2 linked regions of the Caenorhabditis elegans genome follow. The protein of the gene in region 2 interacts with the protein of the main gene of each other region in a pairwise test. Each region holds a gene or a part of one and is shown on either strand. Other genes may lie near its edges.

Region 1 (6,650 bases), on a different chromosome or scaffold from region 2:
TAAAATTTTCTAGAACTACCAAAAAAATGAATTTACTAAAATATCCAAATAGGAAATATTAAACAAATTTACAGTTGTCAGTGTTTTTTTTTCTTATAAAGCATCTTCTCCAGAATGTTTTAAATTTTTTTTTGGCAAACGGCAAATTGGCAAATCTGCAAATTGCTGTTCTTTCAAATTTCAGTAAACCGGCAATTTCCGAAATCCGGAGACCCTCAATTTGCCGATTTTTTTGCTAAAAACTTTTTTTAAACTAACGACACATTGTCAATTTCTAAACAATTAATCCAAATGTCTGTAATTTACTAAAACAAACAACTATTTTCTCTAAATATTTCAGAAACCAATGGAACGCACAGACACCGAAGAAAAATCAGTTGACGAGAAAAAAGACGACGAATCAAATACGGCCGCGAGAATGGCCAACATCACATTAGCAGTGAACTTCCTTCTGATGATTGCAAAAGTCGTCGCATCCGTTCTCTCAGGATCCATGTCGATCATTTCATCGATGGTTGATTCTGTGGTAGATATCACTTCAGGACTTGTCATTTCACTTTCAGAAAGAATGATCAAGAAAAGGGATCCTTATCTGTATCCGAGAGGAAGGACCAGGTTGGAGCCATTGTCCTTGATTTTGATCAGTGTGATCATGGGAATGGCGTCGATTCAATTGATCATTGCGTCGGTGAGAGGAATTCATGATGGAATTCAATTCCATCTTTATGGTAAGAAATGCTGAATTGAATTTTGCATGGAAAGACTCAAAATAGTCTGAAATTCTGATTAAAAACATTGTTTGAAATTGCTCCAAACCTAGGAGCCCTTCTAATTTTCGAACCAATCAGCGTCTTCGAACTCATTTTGTCTGATTGGTTGGAAACTGAGCTGATTAGTCTTGCGGTTCTCAGTTTTGGAGGAAATCTTCAATATATTCGCCCACAAAGTGATGAACTTATAAAATTTTTAAAAAAGTGAATTCAAAGTTTTCCTACAGGATGTACTAGCTCTACCTCTGATCCTTCCCTGATCCTTCAATCTATGCTCCCCTCCCTCAGCAATGGATTTTAAGTTACAATCCTAAAAATTTCCAGGAATCGGTGAAGAACCCAAGCTCAACGTCACCATCACCTCTGTAGTCATCATGGTGTCAACAGTTCTCGTCAAGCTGTCCCTCTACCTATTCTGTAAACGATACAAGGAACCATCGGTCAACGTGCTCGCAATGGACCATCGCAACGATTGCATCTCCAACACGGTCGCCCTGATCTGTGCCTGGCTCGGCACCAAGTACTCGTACTACTTTGACCCAGCCGGTGCTATTGTGGTTTCTATGTACATTTTGTATACCTGGGTGCAAACTGGACGGGAGCATTTGGCAAAGCTGTCGGGTAAAACTGCAGAGCCAGAGTTCATTAATAGGATCATCAAAGTCTGCTTGGATCATGATGCTCGGATTTCACATATTGATACGGTTTATGTGTACCATTTTGGAAGCAAGTTTTTAGTTGAGGTAAGAATATTTTTTCTCTGGATTCTTCAAGCCTAAGCCTGAACCTAAGCCTGAGCCTAAGCCCAAGCCTAAGCCTAGGCCTAAACCTACACCTAGGCCTAACATAAGCCCGTATCGCACATTTCTGAAGAGGCTGAGCTTACAACTGAATTATTGTGCTACTCTAAAATCTGTAATATTTCCAGGTGCACATTGTGCTCGACGAGAATATGATCCTCAAAGAATCCCATGACATCAGTGAGACCCTCCAATCAAACATCGAAAGCTTGCCGGAAGTTGAACGTGCATTTGTTCATACAGACTATGATTATGATCATCATCCTCACGACGAGCATAAAATTGTTTGAATTAGTTATTATTAGAGCACATTTGCATTATGATTTTGTTTTTTTCTTCTTCCCAGTGCCCCCCTACTTTAAGTTTTATTTCATATTTTTCCGGTTTCATGACAGAAATCATCAGCATCTCTCAATGTTTTTTTTTCGCATAATTAACTATACTTTTTTTTGTTTGAAATTTTGAAAATTTTGATTTGCAAACTATAATATTTTTTCTCACATATCGTCGTAGAGTGTCAAATGTTTCTTTTTTTATTTCATTAATTAAAATAAAATAATAAATAAACAAATTAAATTTAAAAACAATTCAAATATTTTTTTGGGATTTCGTTTGTTGTTGATGTTGTTGTCTTGGTGGTGGGAACGATTCGTTTCAAATAGATTAGAATAATTTAAAAGGAGCAGAGAGTCAGAGAACGGAGAAGGAAAGTACAATATATTAAAAAAATATATAAAAATATAGAAAGACTGGGGGCAATTTGTCGCATGAAAAAAGGGAAAAATTGAATTCCATTTTTTTACTTTCCACTGCTCAAATAGCACAAGTTTCCAGCTCCACAGGTGTATCCAGTTGGGCAGACTCCGTTGACACATGATCCGAGGACTCCTCCGGATCCGAGTGGGCAACAGTAGTTGTTGGTGTTGCACATGAATCCGGTTGGGCAGACCTGGTTTACACATGGTCCCGTGCTGTTTCCGGATTGGCATCTGCAGCAGTAGTTGTTGCTCGAGCAGAAGAATCCTTGTCCGCAGAGTCCTCCGAGGCAGGCGGCGACGGCTGGTCCTCCGGAGCAGGCGGCTGAAATTTTTGTTGGAATTAGACGACTTTCCACACCCATATTTGAACTCGTTCTGATACGAGCTAAAGATAGAAAAAGATAGGTTCGTGCGTGTTGTCCAAACCGCGCCGACTTCGTGAGACACAGAGCACAGCAGCACGCACCGAGCAAACGCAAACACCCCGCGAAACTTCGCAAATATTTTGTATTTATGTTGAGCCGTATAAGAAGGTGTCTCCATCACCGCAAAAGGGACTAAGCAGCGTCTCCCCGGGAGTTGTAGCAATCATTAGGTAATCAGTGTGTGTGTTTGCTCGAACCGGAAGGGAACGGCGGGGACACTTGAGAAATTGGAACGGTGACTGGATTCTTGATATCTCTTGATATGATTTTGATAAGGTTTGAGGTTTGAACTAAGGGAGATCTAAATTTTAAAGGTGTCAGCATTCAACTTTTATCTCATATTCCTTACTAAAGGGTTAAAGGACGATGCGTTACTTAAGCGATATGAACGGATCTGGGTACACTGAACCTAGGGAAGCCAGGACTTGAACTCGTGACCTCTAGATTGCTAATTATCAATACTACCGACTGAGCTATCCCCGCTCCTAGTTTTTAATAATTGCGACGTTTTCTTTAACATCTCTGATTTATGAAAAAAAGCAATTTTTCAACTTCCTACACAACCTTCATATTAAAAAAACTTACTATCAAGGTTATTGTTTCCTGGGCAACAGCATCCTTGGACACAGACAGATGCGACAGAATATCTCTGGCACTGGGACGAGGAACTGCATGAGGAATAGCAATTGGATGGGCATCCAAACTGCCTCTTCTGACGGAATACTGTGGAGTTGGCTTCACGAATTTCTGGAGCTGAAAGTCGGATTTTAGGAGTTGAAGAGTGAGTGACAACATACCTTCTTTCGCGTCTTCTGCGTTCAGTACCCAGAAGCAGGCGAGGGGGAGGATAATGCAGAAGGAGATGGCGAGTTGCTTCATAATGAGTTATTTGAAGGTTTTAAGACAAGTAGGAACACCTGACCCTGCGCTGGCCTGAAATTTTAATAATAATAATAATATTATATCAGGAAACTAATAAAGATTCAGATAAATAATAAAGAGTAATATGTAAGTAAAACTGTAAAATTAGTAGGTAGAGTAAGGTAACTCAAAAATAAATCTGAAGATTTGTTCTCAAGGAGAAGCCCGATGGAGCAGCAAGACTAAATGGTCATTTGTACGTAACAGTGAGGAGAGAGGGGAGGGGACACTAACTGACCGTCTTCTCTTTTTCGTCTCCCTCCGACTTTCTGTGTTAGCTTAGACTCTGGCGCCTCCGCGCGGCGACGTGCTCTTTGCGCGCGGCACGAAACTCTCTCATTTCCCCCATCGGGCTCAGTCCAGTCTATGTGTTTGTAAAATGAAGTGGACGATTGATGTTCAAATACTTGAGTGACCCCACACACACACACACACATACACCAAAAGATTGTGAGCGCGCGCTTGTCAAAATGTCGTTCAACTTATCTTATCACGGTTGAAGCATATATAGAAACTTTCCAATTATATTCGGATTGCTAAGGTTTTTATGAAAAGCCCGGAGTCTGTGGTCAATGGAAAACATATAGCTTTCTAATAGTAAGAGCCTTTTGCTTCTTTAAATTTTTGCAATGCTTGATACTTAAATAGTAGTTAGGATGTTAGTTGATAGTTTTTTTAATGCTACAAGAAAAATTAGAATAGTTGAAAAAATGATTCCTACCGTATTTAGCATATTGGACATGAAACTCATTGATCTACTTAAGCGGCGTTTACTGTCTAACTGTAGATAAATATTTTGCACGTGTTTTGTCAGTTAATGACAGTTTTTTGATAGAACCGAAGGGAACAGAGATATAACAAAATAGAGCAAGGGTTGCATGTCTAATAGGGAAACTACGGTGTCTAGAAAATCTTAAAAACAGAGAACAGAGCAAAATCTGTTCCTGATGTGTGAGTAGCCGATTTGCCATCGGAAGAAAATTTGACTCTAAAGTGTCGGAGCACTGTGCTCTTTATACTCGGTGCACTCGAGTGGCAGCGGTGGCGTCAGAGAGACAGCGAGAGCTGCCGGGCCAACTGACCGGCAGGTAAGAGTATCCGGTTTTGGGATGCAACACACGCGGGTGGTGTAGACCACGGCCGGAGACGGGAAGCCATCATCCTTGAAGAGGCAACTTCTCAGAGAGAAAGTGAGCACATAATACACCTCCATTATGAGAGCACAACTCTCTTTTTTTCCCAACACTCGTCCAAACGCGGTTTAAAAAAAACACGTGGAATATGCTTTGTGACGTCTGGGAATTATTGGAACAAGAAACATGGAAGTCATGCGAGAGTCTTCGAACAACTTAAGATGTACGCATAATGTCTCAGTGGAGACATCGCGATCGAGGTCCGGACACAATGAACCAGTGGTGGCCGCCAGCAATCTAGAGGTCACCAGTTCAAGTCCTACCTCCCACTAGGTCCATCCAGCCTTAAGTGGGAAGTAGAGCAATCCACGACTGGACTATTGGTCACAGTCCCCGGCTCGAACAAGGCTTAAATTGGAGCTGGACTGCTGTGTCTGACCTTTAGATACGCAGAAAAAGCTCAGTTTTAATTGCCGTACATATTCCAGAGTTGTGTCTGTTTTGAGCTTGTTCTGCATATGGGACGCCGAGGCATCAAAGTGCCTACCTACGGCAAATTAGCCGTGCTCAACAAACTCCAAAAAATTAATACTCATTGATGCTTTTTGGAGCACCAAAACTACTGAATTCTGAACAATCACCTGGATTCCGAATAAGTTCCGTGTAGTATGTTTGCTTATGCATCTAAATAACTCAATTTTGTAATTTTTTGGCGAAAAAATCAATAGTTTTAGTCAAAATTGTACTGTCAAATTTTTGACGTGTGCGACAAATTTTGAAATTTGCCGAGCTCGGCAAATTTGGCAAATCTACTTTTTTGAAATTTCCCGTGCTCGGCAAATTCGGCAAATTCGGTAAATTTGCCGCACACCCCTGGTAGGCACGCAGGTAAACAGGATAATCTACAGTTTCATTTTTTTAATTGCGATTTCAAACTATTTCTCTACAAGTATGTATAATAGGGAAAATATGGCAGTTCGGACATTTTAAACGATTTTTTTTGCCTGGAAATTGGGAGGATTTCTTTCCTCAGGTAATTTGCGATATGTCTATCAGGAACTTCAACTTTTCTACCCACTCGAACAAGTTTTATTTTTAGTGTTCCTGGATAAACATTGAACATCTGGAGAGCAGTGAAGTTCCGACTTTGTCCCAAAATAGTAGAAGCACGCTCCTCTCCCTACACTCTTATCCTATATCCCTTATCACTGTTCGATTTTTCGAAAAATTTCAACATTCCGATTGTGTCGACAGGCTTGTACTACCAAGCTCTGCATACAAACTTTTGAGAGAGAGAGAGAGAGAGAGAGAGAGAGAGTGCACATAAATGTTTCTCTGCGCACAAATTTCGGACAGTCCACTCTTTTCCCCCCGCCCGTCCATTTATCAGTGATAAACTCTCGGGAATTTTGTATGTGTGCTCAAGTGATCCTGCTTCTCTAAAGGGCGACTCTCTCTCGCATGTCTCCCCAGTCGTTCAGAGCAAACACGGATCATCATCATTATCATCCTCATCATCATCAGCCAACTTCTGCGAAAGAATGAGCCTCACCCGAGTGTTTTGCATGAGATCCGATGATTCCGTTGCCGCCGCCGAAATGCCATTCTTTGACCGACGCTGCCGCCCGCCGCAGCAAACATTTTGGTTATGATTCGATGAATGCGGGGAAAAGTGTACACATAAAGAAATTACAAAAGGGAATCCGGAAATTTTCTTCCACGGAAATGAGGAAAAAGCTCATTTGTATAAGTTACACGATTTTTTTGTAAGGTTTTTGTTAGAACAAGTGCCGGTGTGCAGACTAGAGTCTTGGACTTTTTGAGCCCGATAACTTCAACCGGC
Region 2 (6,650 bases):
TCATCGTGCATCTGTTTTTAGCTCCCCAGCAAACCAAACACGTGTCTCGTCTTCCATGTGTCTTAGATTCTTACAAGGCAATAAGATACTTCCACATGTCATACATATTCGTTGCCCCTCGCCACTAGTTCCCCATCTCCCCAGAGCTAACAAAAATCGAGATTTGCAATTCGTTTTAGTTTTTACTAGTAGTATAAATTCGAAATTTCTTGATATTGAGAATTTTAGAAAATCTTAGTAGTCTGTTCATCATAAAAAATCTAATCATTTGCAGCATTGAGGTTTCGGTTTCACCATATTCACCTTGTGTGAAAGTCGTTTTCAAAAAGTCGATTCCGTGATGTTTGCGTATATCGTATTGTCCCTATTAGTATTGTATGCAATTAAAATTTTTCAATTTCTCATTTTGAGTGCAAGTCTAATAGGGAAAATGTGGTAAGTAACAAAACATAGTGGTTGCATCCATATCGTTGAGTTTTATGTCGACTCTCAAAATTAGTAATGAAATATATTAGCTAATTGCCATATTAAGCCGGTTAATAAAATAATTTAAACTATATTTTGGAAAGAGAAAAAAATTGATATTTTCATTTTTAAGTCATGAGTTAATTCGAAGAATTTTCTCACTGGAACTATTCCACATTTTATTCCGTCAATATAGCAACGGTGGGGAAATCGAAAGATCACTAATACAAGTTTTGTTACATGTAAAACTTTTACACGTTTTTAATGAATTCAAATGAATTGTTCATTGATTCAATATTCTTCTCACATATCAACAGTTTTTATTTTCACCTCCCAGTTTTTTCAAATTTAATAGACATAGATAAAAAGTTCGGCCTTTTTCTATCTGTGTTTTCCATTGACACATTTGATCAGGAAGCTAATACAACATATGGGTGGGTGGGCAGAGAGGTCCGCCACGTTTTATTTTTGCTGTTACTGCGTCGAATTGAAGGGCACATCAAAATGAGTATTACAACACGATCCACGGAGCTTAGCGTTGCTCTTCTCGAAACAAATGATCAGAGGAGTAGAAGACACAACGCGATTCCAGGAGAGCACTGAAATCCCATCAAAACGTTGCCCGAGCTCTGATGTCTTTAATGTCCAGCTCCAGGCCGCCACACATTGTACTATTCGGCGAGCCAGCCAACTGACACCAGCCGTGTGTCCTGTCTTTTGCTCTCCTGCCACCTCCTCCAGTTTTTTGATGCTACTTCAATACATTCTGTCTGATCGCAGCCAAGCACTCGCAAATCAAATCTCAGCAACCCCCGCAATGCGACGGCACATCGAAAGCTATTCCCATTCTTCATTCCAGAATCTTCTTATTTCTTTTTCTTCCCCTTTCCTTCTTCTTCGTCATCTTATGCTTCTTCTTTCTATCCCTTTTCCCATTTATGTCTTCTAGTTCAACTCATTTCGTTTTCAGCCCATTCAACTGTGCTTCTTCTGCATATTTTAATTTCAAAACTTACTTTCAGAGTTTTGTTTCTTTTCCATTACAAAAACTCGAGACTTGTCTGGAATGAGAATCAAATCATATACTTTTTAATAAATATATTTTTGCTCACTCAATCTATGATGAAAAAAGAAACTACTTCAACCAAAACTGAGTATTCAGTATTCTCTCCCCTTTTCCTGCCTCTAGCTACATAATAAGACCTTCATTAAATTTTTATTTGTGCTCACTTCTCGTTTTGAAGTCTTTCTATTCACTCACATCAGTCGTCGTTTTTCACGCACTACTACTTCAAATTTGTATGTTTTGAGCAACGTAAAATTGTTTCTACCACCAATTCTTAGATCCGAAAATTTCATTTTTAGTATTATAATTTGATTACTATTCGCTGTCAGATTCATGACCGAGGCTAACAAAACACGCAATGAAACGCCTTTCAAGAAAGCCATTACACGATAATTACCGCTTAAGCTGTCAGTTTCGGAAGCCCTCGCGAAAAAATGGTGTATGCTCATTTTGTTCTCAGAGCTTCTGCAGAGCACTTCACTCACTTCGAATTTTCCTTTCAACTACAATTATTGTCCTTCTATCCACCACCTTTCCTTGCTTCCTAACAACATCCGCTCAACTAACAACTCTCACCTTCACGTTTTTGGTTTCAAAAACTAAAACACTCGCACTGAATCAGTTGGTGATGGCCATTCCACCATAAATTCATTGTTTAATTTTAACTTCCCCTATAGCTTCCATTACCTTTTTTCACCTAACATGTCTTTGCGCTTCTAACTTCGAAAATCTTATGTTTTCCGATATTATTTTCTCCCTCTGTTCACTTCGCTCGCACTTGCACTGTCCCAATTTAAACATCACCACTCGCACATAACCACGTTAAAAATTGTAATGTTTGTTATTTGTAAAATTTTGCAGATTGAAATTTTCAGAATGTATTTAAAATTTCAAAGTACTGCGATAGGCGTACAGGTTATTGTAATATACTCCTACAGTGGTTCGAACAATACATTACAACTAAACTGACAAAGTGTTTATTGGAGCACCAAAATTGGTTCATTACCAACAATAACAATTTTGAAACCATGTCTGAAATATATGACGATCATGTACCTAATGTGTTTTTTTTCTGAAAAACAGTCATAAATTTGGTAATCAATTGCTCCAGAATCTCTTGGCTGAATACAAGGTAACCAACACAATGTTGTCGTACTTCTTCACTTCTTACATCAACCTGCCAAAGTGAGCGCATGCATTTCAGTCATTTTTTATCTTTTTAATATACACTTACTTTCAAATTTTTGACTAGAAAGTTAGTTGGATCTGCACTAATGTTTCAATCGCTTAATAACACACCCATCACTAAGTCTTCCTTTATTTATTTTTTTTTCGAACAACATTCACTGAGCTGATAAAAATACCGTTTGTGTGCGTATCGTTCCAGCAAACCTCACACCCAAACACTTTAGACTCATTCCGTTTCATGGTTTTGCCTCTTCTATCAATCTGTTTTCAATTTGAATCCCCTTTCTCACGTTTACACACACCCTTGAATACCTTCACACCCACCGTACCTCTAACGCTTTCCACCAATTGCTTGGCACATCCCATAGTAGTCGTAACCTTTGTTTTCTGTAAATGTGCTTCTAATCAATTTGCATTTAAGGACTTGAAAATGAGCCAAATTGATGAGAACATTCGCTACGGCGGAGCTGCCAACGAAACCGATGGCGAGGTAAACAAAACAAAGTCATTTGTGTTTTTGAAACGATATTGTTCAGGATGCCCAACGAAAAGCCCAAGAACGCGAAGCCAAAAAGGCCGAGGTGCGCAAGCGCCTTGAAGAAGCAGGACAAAAGAAACAGAAGAAAGGATTTTTGACTCCAGAAAGAAAGAAGAAGCTCCGCGTAAGAGAACATTTGACTTTCAACACTTACAGATTCATTTTCAGAAGCTTCTTATGAACAAGGCTGCTGAGGATCTTAAGACACAGCAATTGCGGAAGGAACAAGAAAGAGTCAAGGTCCTTGCTGAAAGAACCGTTGCTCTTCCAAATGTTGACAGCATTGATGATCACGGTTCGTTCAGTGCTTTAGGCAACAAACAAAATTGTGTATATTTCAGCTAAGCTCGAGGCTATCTACAATGATTTGTTCTCCCGCCTCTGCAACTTGGAGGAAGAGAAATATGATATCAACCACATCACCACAGAGACTGAAACTACAATTAATCAACTCAACATTGAGGTTAACGATCTTCGTGGAAAATTGTATGTCTTTAAATAAACCCAGCAGTGCTAGTGTGTTTTCACCTGCTCCAATTCCGCATGACATGAGAAAAAACTATTTTCAGCGTAAAACCATCATTGAAGAAGGTGTCCAAGTATGACAACAAGTTCAAGAAGATGGCTGAAGCCAAGAAGGAAGATGGAAGCAAGAACTTGAGAAATAATCTCAAGACAGTAAAGAAAGAGAGCGTCTTCACTCAAATTGCCAACAAGGTAAGTTTGTAATAAGTTTAACTGGAATATAAAACTAGTTTTTACTTGAACTGTCAAGAAAAACATGTTAACAAAAAGTAGCCTGCCAGAAAAATTTCTAGAACACATATTTTGTGTTCACAATATTGAAAACTGGCTGAAACAATACATCAATATAGAACATTAAATACAATGTTTAAAATTGACATTTAGAATCCAAAAAACTCAAAATAATAAATTATATCAATTTGTAGTACTCAGAAACATATACTTATTTTATCAACATAACTTTAAAAATTGTTTTCAAATTGATATTTGATGAATTGAATTTACAATAATCCACATTTCAGAAGAAATCTGACAAGCCAGAATGGTCCAAGAAGAAGGAAGAGAAGAAGGAAGAAAGCGCCCCAGAACCAGTTATTGAGCCAGTTGAGGAAGAAGAAACTGCTGCTTCTGAGGGAGAAGAAGAAGAAGAAGAAGCCGACGAGGAATAAATACCGGCATTGTTGTCATTATCTTGTTCACTGAATCTAACTAATCATTCTCGCGTATAATACATTTCATCAATTCAATTTATGTGCCTTTTGAGTTTGAGTATTCTTAAAATTTTGTGCATGTAAAAGGTATTTGGCCCTTTTTTATAAATCTTCATTTGTTTTGTTCTGCCGTTATACTGTTTCAAAATTTCCAGTATACATTCTTTGTATTCTTTCAGTAATATTCCATCTTATTCTTTTCTGCATATTCGCAATAAATGAAGTTATCACCAACCCGGAATTACAGAGCAAAACTCGAAAGCAGCACAGAAAGGCATTTCTATTTGTGTGAATTATCCTAACGATTTTCAGCTGTCAAACTAACAAATGTAAATGAAACAGGGAATAAGGCAAAAACACCTGGAAACGCAAATCGCCGCCTTCTCCGACGTCACCAAGTGTAACCGGGTTGAGACGAAATAAAAGGAGCTCGATAAGCCATTTTGATTCTGAGTTAAACTCGAGATTGGTTTAATATGGAAAGAGTTCAATTTTCATCCTACGATGAAATGCTCCACTACAACTCACGAGTTGCGAATCAATTCCCAGGAGTTGATTTGAACGTTTTTCGGAAGATTCACTATCTGGAACTTCTGTCACAAATGTTTGGTATGTTAGTTCACAATTTTTTTAATACATTTATAGTTTTTAGGATTCCTATTTTACACTTTCTACCTGATAATTTTTCTGGTTCACGGAAAAACATTCTTCATCTCCGAGCACACATTCAAAGCGATCTTCATTATTCAAATGATCACTTTCGGCGCGGCACTGGTCATTCAGAAGGTATTCAATTTTAGTTTTAAAACTGTAGCATCACACAATTTCAGTTTTCCTTTATGGTCAACTCGGTAGAATATGTTACGTACTCAACATTTCCATTTATTCCAAAGTTTGTGATCTCCATTTGTGATCGGCTAGTAACGGCTCAAATGCCTTTGTATTGGTTTGTTGTCAGTGCTTTTCTCATAATTCAAATTGCCCAATTCGCTAATCAAAAGTATGTGTTTCTGTCAAAACAACATTCTAATAAATACATTTTTCAGTCCACGCGGAATTAAACTGGCACATACCTACTTGATACCTTACGGAATAATCATTACCCTCATTTCCTTCATTACCCCGGTAATATTTTCAAGAGAAGCTCAGAAACTAGGAAATCGTTGTTTTCAGGATCATATGAAACTTTTTATGATCGTCGTCTGCTTTCTAATCTGGTGGATTTATCGAAAGCATATGATTGCCCAGTTGTACAGCCAAGACATGACCGCCCGCGACGTTTTGAATATGCGCCGGATGAACATCTGGCTGTCCAGTCAGGTGAGTCTCATTAAAACTCAATGTGTTATATCAATAAATTGGATTTATTACAGATTTTCGGGACACTGATCTTCCATCTGCTCGACTTAGGAATGATGCTGGCTATCAAGTCGTCTGTGACTGACACTGGAAGACAAACCTATTACGGATTCTATAAGAATGAAGTAACAAACCATTCAACAAACGATAAAAATCAATGAATAAATTTTAGGTGTTTAAAGTGGTCACGTGGATTGCCACGTATGCAAATGCATTCATTTTTGCCTGGTCAACAATCAATTTCATCAAAACCGACGCTTCTAAGGAGCCGACCACACTTCCAGTTTTTGTTAATGGTTCGCTTCCAATGGATTCACTCTCGCGTCGCCCGTCTGCAATCTCTGCGTTTTCCATGAACAACGTGGCACCGATCACCCCACGTGGATCAAATATGTTGCATATTTAACGTTCATCCATTTATTAATATGTTTTAATCAAACAATAGATTTTAATAAAAACACAATTTTGTTTCATTCAGTACAAGTATGACAAAACCACCATCAACTTGATAGATAAATAGTAAACAAGGAATGGATCGAGCTGAGATAGGCAGATTGGATTTTGGGAAGCTGGTGGACATGGAGGATGGGATAGAAGGAATAAAAGCAATAAGCTCTGGTTCTACAGAAAACGTCGAGAACAATTTGAAAAGTGGACTTAAATGTTAAGGAAAGTGGGAAGGAGGATGAATAACCGCATTTGTGACAAATAAACTATTATAAAATTGATGACAGCTTTACATATTGTAACGATCTTCGTAATTGTTGTAAGGATGGTCCGACATGAATGGCTGGCGGCT

The links.
Region 1: the proteins of tni-1 (region 2) and R02F11.1 interact in a two-hybrid assay, tested with the Caenorhabditis elegans proteins (one large-scale study listed by BioGRID).

The regions. Positions count from the first base shown.
Region 1 is NC_003283.11:4,798,130-4,804,779, reverse strand, and holds R02F11.1 (CC domain-containing protein), read right to left. Parts: upstream 3,687-6,650; 5' UTR 3,633-3,686; coding exon 3,551-3,632; intron 3,507-3,550; coding exon 3,339-3,506; intron 2,651-3,338; coding exon 2,370-2,650; 3' UTR 2,096-2,369; downstream 1-2,095. Other genes in the region: R02F11.3 (Cation efflux protein cytoplasmic domain-containing protein), read left to right, coding at 341-728, 1,095-1,513, 1,699-1,860.
Region 2 is NC_003284.9:11,373,961-11,380,610, reverse strand, and holds tni-1 (Troponin I 1), read left to right. Parts: upstream 1-3,140; 5' UTR 3,141-3,149; coding exon 3,150-3,209; intron 3,210-3,255; coding exon 3,256-3,381; intron 3,382-3,425; coding exon 3,426-3,552; intron 3,553-3,598; coding exon 3,599-3,743; intron 3,744-3,826; coding exon 3,827-3,974; intron 3,975-4,303; coding exon 4,304-4,450; 3' UTR 4,451-4,724; downstream 4,725-6,650. Other genes in the region: F42E11.3 (Brp/Blh family beta-carotene 15,15'-monooxygenase), read left to right, coding at 5,002-5,101, 5,145-5,278, 5,323-5,492, 5,539-5,617, 5,666-5,812, 5,866-6,012; ttyh-1 (Protein tweety homolog 1), read right to left, coding at 6,588-6,650. UniProt on the Caenorhabditis elegans protein: Troponin I is the inhibitory subunit of troponin, the thin filament regulatory complex which confers calcium-sensitivity to muscle actomyosin ATPase activity.